Nothobranchius furzeri: one gene and its partners. The protein of the gene in region 3 purifies or fractionates together with the protein of the main gene of each other region. This does not show direct contact. Links are inferred from orthologs where the notes say so. Each region holds a gene or a part of one and is shown on either strand. Other genes may lie near its edges. The genes, in order: cdk8, polr2k and med19a.

Region 1 (4,491 bases), on a different chromosome or scaffold from region 3:
CTATAAAGGGCTATACAGGGCTGAACTCTTAGTGACTAGTTGGTTTTTACCTTTTGATTATGTCCTTTGATGTATGTTTTTGTGTTCAGCACTTTGGTCCTGTGGGTGTTTTAAGTGCTATATAAATAAAGCTGGTATGGGATGACTAATGGGATACTGGGTCCTCAAAAGGAATTTAGTATAGCATTTTATCCCATTTTCAAGTTGCTGATTTGATTACAGTAAATATGTTTTAAATGGACATTACAGCACAAAACTATGTGTGCTAAATTATGCAACATAATTTCTATAAGCATTATTTTTTCAATACATGTACTTATTGACACGTTTTATATAAAAATGTGTATTATACTGTAAAATATGTCTTATTGTAAAACAATAACAGAGTAAAAGAAATGATGAATGACAAAATGCACTGAAATTGGTCCAAAATTGATGTTTCCACTTTTATTGTCAGGATACTTGTTTCATGTAAAATATTTAAATGCAATACAGTACAATGCATGTTCCATCTGCCATCCTCCATACGATTAGTTGGTTTTGTCGTCATGTTGTAAGGCTTACTCACAGTACACAGCAACTCACACACTCTGCTGTGTTACGCTTGTCATGAAAACAAAATCATGACAATAGATTAAATTAGAAACTACTAAAATCCTTACTCTGTCCTTTCTGAACAAAAAAAGCCTCCATCCCACAGCTGTGAGATCAAAAATCTCCCAGCCTGCTTTGCCGCAGTTCAGTCCTCAGCGGAGGCCCCTTACACACAAAAAAACAAAACAAATAGGAGGACTGAGAATCTGTTAACGTGGGCAGTCACGTAGCAGCTTTCGTCTCATCCAAGTTTTGACGGGACGAGGGGAACTGAAGCAGAGGAAAGGAGATGGCTCGTCTGTATTTTGCCTGATTAATGGAATATTTTATTTTTATCCTCTTGATCTGCCTTTCACCCATGAGGATTTGCTTTACGCTGTACTGGGATTGTGTTGTCTGACACTGGTGGAGTTGTTTTGTCTCTCTGAACTACCAGATCACAGCAGAGTGCCTTCAGAAGGTAGGGTGTGGGGTGTTGCACCATCCCCACATCCTTCAGTACATTCGTTCAGGCGGTCACAGAAATGGCTGTGTGAGTGTGTGTTCAGATTAGAAATGTGTGTGTTTATTTGTGGGAGGGGTGTTTCAGTAGCGGTGGGACTGGTGGGAGTACTGGGGTGGTTGTTGGGAGGTAGAGGAGTATCCCATGCTGCTTTGGGGCAGTGATGTGCTTGGTCCAGGATTCTGGTAGGCAGCATGTGGATTAGAGCGCTGCATGAACAACAACAACAACAAAAAAAGCTTTGTCAGTAAAAACTTCAAATTTCTTCTGTTTTCATCAGCAATTAGTTTCTTTATTTAGCATTTAGGACACAAGCTGTTCTGTTTGTGTGTCCAGATGAGCAGCAGAAAAGCTCACCTGGTAGTCTGAGGTCATAATGAGGCCACCTGAGGTAGTGGTGGGAGGGACAACCCGCACCTTCTTTGCAGGTGGGCCCTGGGTGTGGCTATTTTCTGGGTTGCCAGTGTGCCCCGCCCCGTTTGTGTGGTTGTTTCCCTGTTGCTGCTGCTGGTTCTTCTAAAACACCCAACAACAAAACAATCTAAACAATACTGTACATGTACTACAACATTTTAGTTTCTCATTTTTGCTTTGACAGGGGTGCTCCAAGGGGTGGCCAGGGATGGGGGGCCATGGCCACACCCTGGTAAATTGGTGGCCACCCCACTGCCCCCCACCAGGGAAGACCACCCCCCCACCTTCCCTAATAAATCACAATCATGTTCACACAAATTGTACATTCATCTTTTTTTAATTAGGACATACATTTTTACACTAACAAATAAATGTATTCTACTAAAAAAAAATTATCACAGCTTATATACTACGTATCCCATTGAGGCTCACTATATTTTTTCAAAAATATGTTCAAAAAGGTTTTGTTCAAACGACAACAGGCAAATTTTAAACTTAAAATTATAAAACAGCAAAATTTAAAACAAAAGCGGAAAAAAACTATGAACCTCTTAAATGTTTGTGTTCCTCAACTCTGAGGTAAATATGACGGACGCATAGGCCTTTAGTTCTAAATGAAAGATAACAAAGAAGCAATCGACAGCCACAGGGACCAATTTGGTGCCACCCCAAATTTATACTGCCCGCCCATGAGGATTATCTACGTACACCACTGCTTTTTGATTCAAATGCATTCATAAAATAAGTTTGTAAAGTAAATTTTACTTTGTCTCCTTTGTCCTCTGGCTCCTCCTCTGTCAAGAACTCTCTCTTGGGGTAGGGAATCTGACAACCTGCAAACACACTAGAAGAATGCAAAAACACCTCATCAACCTGTTCAGGAGTCTCCTCCGGCACGTTAGCCGCGCTAAAAGCCAGAACTAAATCTGCTGCAGCTCACTCAGACGTGGGAAGAGGCTCTTCTAAAAAGTACGGGTCCTGCATTGCCTGCTCCGATGTGATTCTACGGATGGGGTCCATGGTCAATAGTTTTTGCAGCTGCAATCAATAACGTGATTTTAATGTCAAACAAAAAGCCGTACCAGATATATCAGGCAGAGAAAGACTAAATCAAAAGCGCTTCAACTCACCAAGTGGAATGCTTTACTGTCTGGTTTAACTTTATGTTTTTCCATGTACTTTATAAGGCTGCAGTTTGTGTATCTGTATAAAAACAGGAGCAAACTATGAAGTGTGTGTAATTTTTGTGTATTAAGATATACTTTGCTTTGTTTTGATCTTAAAACAAATAAAAAACAGGACACAAGTGGTCTGCAGACTCACGTGTTCCTTCTGAAATCTTTCATCAGTGTGGAGTGCTCTGGCATCTTTTTGATGTCTTCCCAGTCTTTATCTGTTAGACCAAGGCAACAAAGGGTTAGGACGAAGGATCATTTATCTTTAAAGAAATTAAAAAATTATTTTTCCACAGCAACTTACAATTAAACAACATTTCTTTCATTTTTACACCAATTAGCTTTGGTTTTGTACTTAAACTCTGCAAATTTGCCCAAAATTTCTGCAGAAACCAAAGTGATCCTTCTAACTGACTGGTGAATTAAATAAATAGAGCGGCAGAGACGAGAAAAGAAAAAAGGAAAAGTGAAGCAGATTTTGTGAACTGGAAAGTATCGGTCCAAATGTAGGCCTGCAAGCAACCATCTCTAGGTTTGTGACTTGTATAAAGTCTGTGGTTTGATGTCCGGCGTCTACAGACCACATTAATACATTCAAAAACAGAGCAAGTAAAGACCGAGAAAATAATGCGTTTCATCACATTTCCTTCCAGAACATCGTAGCTGGAAAAATCTTGTGTAACACCAACACATTAACAGTCTCACCAGCAGGGAAGCCCATAACATTAAAGATTCGGTCCAGCTGGTCGTGGTGGTATGGGTTGCTGGTCTTGATGTCCTCCTGACGACAATGGAATATGGGCTCAGACGTTAGCAGCTCTGCAAAAATACAGCCAATCGCCCAGATGTCTGGGAGAAACGCACAGCACGTGCTGACATAAGTCAAAGCCACACCAATAAAAAACACGTGCAGAGCAGAAGTGGAAAAGGGTTTCACCGATGGCTTTGGTGTAGTGCCGAGCCCCCAGCAGCAGCTCAGGTGCTCTGTACCAGAACGTGACCACGACGGGGTCGAGATCAGCTAAAGGCTTCAGTGGTGAATTGAAGAGACGAGCAAACCCCATATCCGCTACAAAACAACAACGTGTGTTAGTTTATAAAGTAAAACTTTACTTAAGAAATGAACACGATACACACCGATCTTCACTCTACCCCTTTCGGGACCTTCTCCCATCACTAAAATGTTTGCTGGTTTCTGATGATGACAAACAGAAAGATAACAAAGATTTAGGAACAGCAGCTCACCGTTAGACCACAGAAGAGCAAGAAAACAGCACAGCAAGAAAGATCCAATCTAAACTAATTGTTGCTGCCCTCTAGTGGGCAAATTAATAACTTGTATTCTATTGTCTATTTTAAACTTCATGAAAGAGATGAGTATAATAAATGATACTGTTAAGAAATACCAACATTCAATTTAAAGTTAAAACAACTTAATACAAAGTTCAATCTTTTTACTTCCCTTCTACCCAAAGCCCCCTTTTGCCCCAAACCCTCTCACCAGGTCCCTGTGGAGGACCCAGTTGGCGTGGAGGTAATGGATGCCATCCAGAATCTGGTAGAGCAAAGACTTGACCATTCCTCTGGGTAGCTGAAGAGGCTTCTTGTTGGCTTTGGACGCTCTGTGAAACTTAATAATGTGCTGTGGGAAAAGGAGAGAATAATCACCGTGAGGCCTGCAAGCCTGATCTCCAATTTAAGATGGGCTGATGTTCTCAGCCATATGGTTTCACTTCTGTCAATGGACACAGAGTGCTGCAGCTCTGTGGTAGAAAGCAGTATTTAACTCTGCTCTGATATTGTGCC
Region 2 (3,915 bases), on a different chromosome or scaffold from region 3:
TTCACAACATACGGGCTAAGAGGAAGGCAAACAAACGTGGTTCTAAAAAACTGGTGCAAAGGCGACTTTGGACAGTCTCATTCATTAGAATTAAAGAAAGTTGGGGTGTCACCTGTCACACTGCTGCATGATGGAGATCTCCTTGATGATTTCCTGCAGGTCAGACTCCACAGGAACCTGCTTGATGGCCACCACCTGCCCTGACTCTTTATGAATGGCTTTAAATACACTGCCATAGGAGCTGATTACACAAAGAAATGCATCTTTTAAGTGAAACTACTAAATAAACTATGATTTACACAGTAATTAGATCAAGTTAAAACATCTCACCCTTCACCAAGTTTCTCTAAAACATCAAACACCTCCTCCGGCTGCTTGGTCAAGCTGTCCTCGCTCAGCTTTTTCAGCTTGCTGAAAAATTCAGCAAAAATATTGTGTATTTAACACAATGTCTCTTTAATAATGGAAGAAAGACACAATATTTCTTTATATATGCACATCAAAGTTTATTTTATAGAGTAAACATTACTTTCTGTAGGAGAACTTGAGTGTGTGTTTATAACTTAAGAGGAATGATGAAAATAATTGATGAAATCTAGATAAAAATACTGTTTAAAAAAATTTTGAGATATTTTTGGTCTTTGATCATAATCTGGATTTAATGCAACCTAGTATCAATGTACACAAATTAAACAGATAATAAACAATTTAATCCTACTGTCTTATAAAATTTAAATACATTTTAAATTTAATTAACTTAAAAGGTGCTAGCTTAAGCTAACCAGTAAATAGATCGGTCCAAAATAAAGTAAACAGTTACTTCGAATAAATTATGATTTTCCTTAATACACATTTAATTTATTATATATTTTTGAAGCGACAATGAAATCACCCCCAACGACGCGAAATCCAAAAACGTCTAAACAATTAAACAAACCATAATCTCAATGGAGGTTTTAACCGGTTTTGTGTTTTTACTTTCTGCTTGTTTATCTCTGTGGAAAGTTTGAGAGAACTGAATTCGCTTAGCATTAGCATCCTGAGCTACCGCCTACATTAGCCTGGTGGTAAAGCAGAGGTCTCAAAGCAAACGTTCACAAACCTTTTAGGCGCGGACGGCTCCATGGTACACCAACTCGGAAACAAAAGTCAAACAAAGTATGAAAAAGAGAGCGCGGGTTTGTCAGTGGTAGTCAAGACGTGGACATTGTCGGCAGATTCGTTGTTGTCACAAACTAGTGGAGGAGGGCCAGCTGGGGGGAGCTCTTCAAATGATGGACATTCTTGTGTTCGACGCTGCGACAGCGCCCCCTGTCGGGACGGAAGCGCACTTTACATTGTTTTATTTTACAAAAACACAATTACGAATCAGATTGACAATGTTTGGCTCGAGTCAAAAACAAAAACTCTAAATAAAGTCTAATTTATTCATAAGGTCCCAAAAGAATACTAAATTAAGCCAGAATTTGTAGCGTAACGGTAATTGAAAAATGAAACACCCGTGTTGTGGATTTGCTTTCAAGAGGATGTTGTGTCAAGACAGGAACATTTTTAGTATAAAATATACAAAAAAAAATTCTTTGCTTCCAATTTTTAAAATCAGTTCAGATGTGTTTCGAATAATTCACAATGCCTCAAAACCGCTGGGTGACAGTAAAGGCACGTAAAGCGTGTCGATCGTCCTGTAAAACCAAGAAGAAGAAATTTGACGCAAGCGCAGAAACCCAATCGTAAAAGCGGATGGTTTAGTGTGTGAAAACAGTAAACATTTCCCAAATTACGCAGTTAAACGGTGAGTCATTTCGCTTCCTTTCATCAGTAATTAACTAAATGCATGTACACGGTTTAATTTGTGCTCTGTGCGTATACAGTTTCACCAAATTCAGAGACGTTTATGCAGTTTTGAGCTAATGTCCGGAGCACCATGCTGTTTCTGTTAGCATGCTAACAAGAAGAAGGGTTGTTGATGAAATGTTTACATTTCTGTCTTTTATAGAACAAAATGGACACACAGAAAGATCTACAGCCGCCCAAGCAGCAACCAATGATCTACATTTGTGGAGGTTTGCTGATGAAGCAACTATCATTGCAATTCTTGATGGTTTTATTCACGAAATATAGAAAAGTCATCAGAAAAATACTAGTTATGACTAATTAAAACATATTTCTTATTAGTAAATATTCCATTTTAGCCTGACAGCATGTAAACGTCGATTGTTAATGTGTTTGCACAATTATACTGTTCTAAATTAATTTTGCAGCAGTTCTGAAATACATTTATATGTCTTTATAAATGTATATATTTTTTTTTTATGCAGAGTGTCACACTGAAAACGAAATAAAGGCCCGCGACCCGATCAGATGCAGAGAATGTGGCTACAGAATCATGTACAAGAAGAGAACAAAGAGATGTATCCTTTCTCTCTCTCTCTCGTGTGTGTGTGTGTGTGTGTGTGTGTGTGTGTGTGTGTGTGTGTGTGTGTGCTTATTTTCCTTGACTCATTGATTCCAGTGGTTGTTTTTGATGCACGATGAAGAGGAGTGGAGCTGCAGATTGATCTTTAGTTGTTGTTTTCTGTTTTTATTGAGTCTGACCTTGTAAATAAACATAAACTGGGGCTTCAGCTTTCATGTTGGTGTAGATTCTCGCTCATTCGGGTCGTGGCATTCCTAAATTGCACTTCTTGCTGAAACATCTTAGAGCAGCAAGATAAATTCAGCCTTTTTGGTTTTTGGCATCCGCGGTTTGTGTCAGGTGTTCCTTATGTTATTTTAGTAAATAATAATGATGCATAAAAGTTTTATTTTAGAAAAATCAGTTTGATTTGACTGTTTTCTTTTAAAATCCTTTGTGGCCAGCAACATTAACAGGATGAAAACTCTTCAGTTAGTTTAACACATCTGCTAAATAGATATGATCCACAGTCATTCCTGAAATAAAAATCAACCTTTAGGATTTAAATTCAAAGTTTTAACCACATTTCTCTAAGAAGGAAAATTCTCATCTGCTGGCCAACAATTCACAGATTCACCAATGTTTTTTGGTTTGTTTATCTGAGAGCACGTTGTCGTGTTTATTTTAAAATTTTCATAATCTTGTTAAATTATGGGGTCTCATTTCTAAGTGAGACTTGTTTTAATCAAACATGCAAGAGAAGAAATTAGTAACAAGAATATTTAGTTACGAAGAAGATTGTAAAAAAAGTGTCTAAATAAAATGTGGAAAGAAAATCAGTTTCTCAAAAACGTTTGACTCAAAAATATTTAAGTGAAGAAAAGGTTTTTGTTAGCTTTTACAAATTCAATTCAATTCAAGTTTATTTATGTAGCGCCAAATCACGACAAGAGTCGTCTCAAGGCACTTCACATAATAAACATACCAATCCAGGTCAGTTCATTAAGCCAATCAGAAATAATGTTTCCTATATAAGGAACCAAGCAAATTGCATCAAGTCACTGACTAGTGTCAGTGACTATACAGCAATCCTCATACTAAGCAAGCATAAAGCGACAGTGGGGAGGAAAACTCCCTTTTAACAGGAAGAAACCTCCAGAGAATCCTGGCTCAGTGTAAGCAGGCATCCTCCACGACTCACTGGGGATCGAGAAGACAGAGCAGACACACACACACACACACACACACACACGTGCGCACACATACTCACACACGCGCACACACAAAGACACACACACACACACACGTGCGCACGCATACTCACACACGCGCACACACAAAGACAAGTAATGTGTCTATAGTTATATTGTGATGTCTTAGTAAATATTCTATTTGGTGAAAGATAAACTTTATTGTGTTTGTTCTAGTGGATCTATAATTAAACGGATAAACTAGTATTAGCACATCGCACGTCAAGGAAAGCAAAAAGTTATTATCAGGAGAGGGATAATGTTTTAGTG
Region 3 (4,347 bases):
CACGAAGCAGCCTGCTCGACCCGAGCAGCTCTCTTTTTCTGTGATTTTACAGAAAAACAGGCAATCACAGTAAAAATGCCAGGGCTCATTCTACAGGACCAGGGCATTGCAGGAGAATGTATGAAGAAGAAATTTATTATTTCTATAAATGTTTTGGCTGTCAAACTTCCATAATGCCCCTTTAAAGAAAGCCTTTCCCATTTCATGCTGCCAGCAATGGCTCCACATGGAAGAGAAATGTCATAAAATCTGAGAAAGGAAATAATGTATTTACACATAAAAGGTGAGGGCTACAAGATCAGCCAAGCTTTACATATCAGTCAGAATACTGTAGCAAAAGTGACCAAAAAATGTAAGACCAAAAAATGTAAGAAAGACGAAAGTGCAACCATCTTACAGAGACGTCCAGGCCGTCCATGGAAGTGAACATCTCAAAAGGAGCGTCTTCTGAAGACTGAAGAAAATCACCATTAAAGTTCACTGCAGTTAGTTAAAGCAGTAGAAAGCCAAACTGGAGTGACCGTTTCCCATGACACCATACAACGCACACTGCAGAGGAATGGCATACATGGGTATTGTCTACGAAGGAAGCCTCTCCTAAAGCTCATGCACAAAAAGCACACCTAGGATTTGCTAGGGCCCGTGCTGAAAGAGATGAAGACTACTGGCACTCTGTACTCTGGAGTGATGAGACAAAGATCACAGTTTGTGGAAGTAATGGTTTCAAAACTATGGCGTTGTAAAGGTGAGGATTTCAAAGAGAAATGCATGGTGCCTACAGTGAAACGTGGTGGTGGTGGCAGTGTCCTTATGTGGGGCTGCATGAGTGCTGCTGGTGTTGGGGAGCTGCATTTCATTGATGGCATCATGAACTCAACGATGTCCTGTTCTATACTGAAGGAGAAGATGCAGCCATCACTCCATGCACTTGATCATTGGAGGGGATAATGCAAAGAAGGATTCTCCAGAGAATCAAGAAAATGATGGACAACCCTGAGCATTCTCTTCACAAGACTGTCCGACAACGGAAGAGTGTCTTCAGTCAGAGGCTTCTTCAGTTTGGCTGCAACACTGACCGCTACTGGAGATCCTTCCTGCCAACAGCCATTGTAATATACAATAACTCTTTGATGACTTGATTATTATTATTATTCTGAGCTACTACAGCAATCAATTTCCCTCTGGTATTAATAAAGTATCTTTGAATTGAATTGAATTTGAATCATTGTGCACGTTTCCACCACGACAATGATCCAAAACGCATCTAAAGCTACTGTTGCATTTCTGAAGAAGAACAGGGTGAAGGTGATTGAATGGCCAAGTATGTCTCCTGATCTGAACACCTGTGGGGAATTCTGAAGGTTGAGCATCACTCTCCATCCAGCATCCAGATTATAAAACACGTTATTCTTGAAGAATGGAAAAAGATAGATGTTAATGTTTATGTTTATTTATTTAGCAGACGCTTTTATCCAAAGCGACTTACAATTTATAACCTATAGGGCATGTTGTGATCTGTGGGGGAAACCGGAGTACCCGGAGGAAACCCGAGCATGCATGGGGAGAACACGCAACTCCACGCAGAAATAGCGACAGTGCAACAACTGTGCCACCATGCAGCCCGATGTTGCAATATGTCACCATCTTGTTCATGCCATGCCTAGAAGACTTGATGTAGTAGTTTTTGTTGAGGGGTGTATTCCTTTTTGCTAAAACCAATTTTAGCAAAACTGAAGATTTTGTGATCCAAGTCATATTAATAGCCTTAATTTCATGTTATGGAGTTAAGCAAGTGTTTAATAAAACCCAGCCTTGTTAAAATTCTGGAAAATTTTTTTAGTTCATTGAGCTACTGATTAAATTTGTACTCTTCAAAGGGGGTGTACTCATTAATACTGAGAACTGGATGAAAAAACAAAACTGCTGTGCGACTTATGTCACAATGCTATTCCGAGTCAACATTTTAAATCTTTTTAATGCCCAGCTAGAAACTTAATTAGTGTTTAAAATTTTCTCACCTTCTTTTTTTTCTTGTCTTTCTTCTTTTTCTTGCGGTCAGGATCATCGTCCCTCTTTTTCTTCTTTTTCTTGGGATCAGAGTCTGACGGAGTTTCTAAAATCAGAACAGACGTGTCAGTGTGGTGAAAAACACGTAGCACTTGTTTCAGCTGACCTCACTAACACGCCACCAGACCTTGTGGGAGGGGGTCCTGTGGTCGATTGTGCTTGTGTTTGTGTTTGCTCTTCTTCTTTGGGGGCTGTATGTGCATCAGTCTGTACTGTTCTGGAAGCTGGAAAAAAAAAAAAACACTACATGTTACATAACGGGGATAAGATGATCATTTATTATCAGGCATAATCAGTGTTGTGGTACCGGTCCTGTATGTAGTCTGAATCCTGTGAGCAGAGCACCAGTCAGCGGGCTGAACGAGTTCCCACAAACGGGAGGCTTATCTATCAGAGAGCGCAGAGAGCTGCCGTCCTGAGTGCCCGGACAGTCGATCATACCTGCAACAAAAGAGACACTATAAAAGTGGAAATAAAGAGCGTGGCTGAAAGGGATCCGTGTAATTTACAGGCCATAGTGAGGAGTCCAGGTGAGATTAAAGAGGCTAAAAAAAAACAACAAATCAGAAACAATGAAAGTTAAACTTTTGGTTTTAGAGATACAGCCTCAGCCCTCAAAGTCTAATTCATTAGAGCGCCCAGAAGTCCCAGCACCTGTCAGAATGCAGGTTTAGATTAACTATAGCTTAAGCCACTGGAGTCAAACCCTGGCCCTCGAGAACTGACCTGCCAGTGCATATGTTGCCAATACTACAGATCCCAGAATGCTTTGCTGCATTATCAGCAGCATCCATGCTACCAGTCTCGAGGAGGGTACGGCTGCGGACCTGGAGACCACAGATTCGGTCTCAGACAAACAAAAAAATGACTGCTTAGTTAGCACCCAGCAATTTGCCAACTTTGAAGCCCAAATATCAAGATTTCAACAGCTCAGTAATCTATTTGTGGCCGACGTGAAAAGCGCAGAAAGCAACCTCCAAATGGAGCCAAATGAGCTCCGGTGTAGTAAAACGCTCAAATTTGACTCTGTGGCTTCTGCTCAGTTTCCATCTGATGTGTTTTATTTCAAAGTTAACTGCCCGTGTGTTGTTAATTTTAAACTTTGGTTATTCCAGAGTAACTATTAATGCAAGACTATGGTTTGTTTCCATATAAAACATTCAACAACACAAATCAGAAGATAAAGAAAATTTTAAGCATTTGCATCCATAAACATTTTCCCATGACTTTGTTCTAGTTTCTCCAGTTTGGCCCAGAGTGAATTTCAGTTTGACACCCCTGGCTTAAACGATGACAAATACAGGTAGAAAATCCTGAAAAAGTATAGTATTTTGTCACTTGTTTAAAAAAATTCATCTGACCTATTATGTAAATTAGGGATGCACGGATAACTTTTTTACCACAAGGAAGGGAAACCATAGAAAGTCATTGCTAAAGAAGCATGTCAGTTCCACTTTACTAAGTCCATCAGGGACCGGACAAGTTGCAAGTGTGATATTCTGGCCACAGGGGGCGGTGGGGGTCTGAGTGACATTTTTTTCACCCTAAGGGTCATTTTAGTACATACTGGCTAAAGAAAACGATGTAAAAATATGAAAAAGTTGCAGAGTAAGCCTCAAGTCCAGGTGTGGTGTTGATATCTAATGATTTGGGCTCCATGTCCTCTCCTGGTGTTGGTCCATTGTGTTTTCTGAAGTCCACAGTAAACTCAGAAATTTACCAGGTACAGCTGAGGAAATTAATCAATAATCGATGCATCAAGATGCAGACATTAATTACAAATCATTGAAAAGGCCCACCATGATAAATTATTGTATAATGCAGTTTTTTAACAGCAGCATAAATATTTGATTCTAAAGTTGCTCCAAAGACCTTCAAAGCTATTACATGGCCCCATAACAGATTTTGTCAACTATGGAAGGCAAGAATTGGACATGTCCTGTAGGTTTTCAGTATTTATTAAGATGTTGGTAGCATTTGCAGAGCTTGTTTTTCCCCACAGCCTGAGATGTAAGTGTTGAATGAGAAAACAGATTTTGTTTTCTTCGTTAAATCTTTTTAAATGTTTAAAATGTTTTGCACTCTTACATTGTTCTAAGGACTGTTGTGATTGAAGGGCTTCTTGGGGAATGACATGTTGCGTCAGACACGTTTTGATAGAAAAGCAAATATCTGACATCTTTTATTAATTGATGAAAGTAAACCCATAAGAAATAATCGTGATGCATTGAGATATCAAATTGAATCGTTGACAATCAGTTCAGTGGCCTAGTGGTTTGA

Evidence for each region.
Region 1: the proteins of med19a (region 3) and cdk8 purify together in Homo sapiens (affinity purification with mass spectrometry; 8 studies listed by BioGRID and IntAct, counting the BioPlex papers as one, with this or other methods). This does not show direct contact. The link is inferred for Nothobranchius furzeri from reciprocal best matches to the Homo sapiens genes MED19 and CDK8.
Region 2: the proteins of med19a (region 3) and polr2k purify together in Homo sapiens (affinity purification with mass spectrometry; 3 studies listed by BioGRID and IntAct, with this or other methods). This does not show direct contact. The link is inferred for Nothobranchius furzeri from reciprocal best matches to the Homo sapiens genes MED19 and POLR2K.

The regions. Positions count from the first base shown.
Region 1 is NC_091747.1:51,013,750-51,018,240, reverse strand, and holds the end of cdk8 (cyclin-dependent kinase 8), read right to left. Parts: intron 4,328-4,491; coding exon 4,187-4,327; intron 3,881-4,186; coding exon 3,823-3,880; intron 3,755-3,822; coding exon 3,623-3,754; intron 3,535-3,622; coding exon 3,391-3,534; intron 2,904-3,390; coding exon 2,834-2,903; intron 2,714-2,833; coding exon 2,641-2,713; intron 2,549-2,640; coding exon 2,451-2,548; intron 2,355-2,450; coding exon 2,276-2,354; intron 1,613-2,275; coding exon 1,454-1,612; intron 1,306-1,453; coding exon 1,180-1,305; 3' UTR 961-1,179; downstream 1-960.
Region 2 is NC_091759.1:1,440,579-1,444,493, forward strand, and holds polr2k (DNA-directed RNA polymerases I, II, and III subunit RPABC4), read left to right. Parts: upstream 1-1,660; 5' UTR 1,661-1,792; intron 1,793-1,996; 5' UTR 1,997-2,002; coding exon 2,003-2,063; intron 2,064-2,318; coding exon 2,319-2,411; intron 2,412-2,512; coding exon 2,513-2,535; 3' UTR 2,536-2,631; downstream 2,632-3,915. Other genes in the region: stk3 (serine/threonine-protein kinase 3), read right to left, coding at 1-15, 113-241, 331-411, 1,103-1,125. UniProt on the Homo sapiens protein: DNA-dependent RNA polymerase catalyzes the transcription of DNA into RNA using the four ribonucleoside triphosphates as substrates.
Region 3 is NC_091741.1:91,561,195-91,565,541, reverse strand, and holds part of med19a (mediator of RNA polymerase II transcription subunit 19-A), read right to left. Parts: intron 2,509-4,347; coding exon 2,375-2,508; intron 2,292-2,374; coding exon 2,195-2,291; intron 2,114-2,194; coding exon 2,019-2,113; intron 1-2,018. UniProt on the Homo sapiens protein: Component of the Mediator complex, a coactivator involved in the regulated transcription of nearly all RNA polymerase II-dependent genes.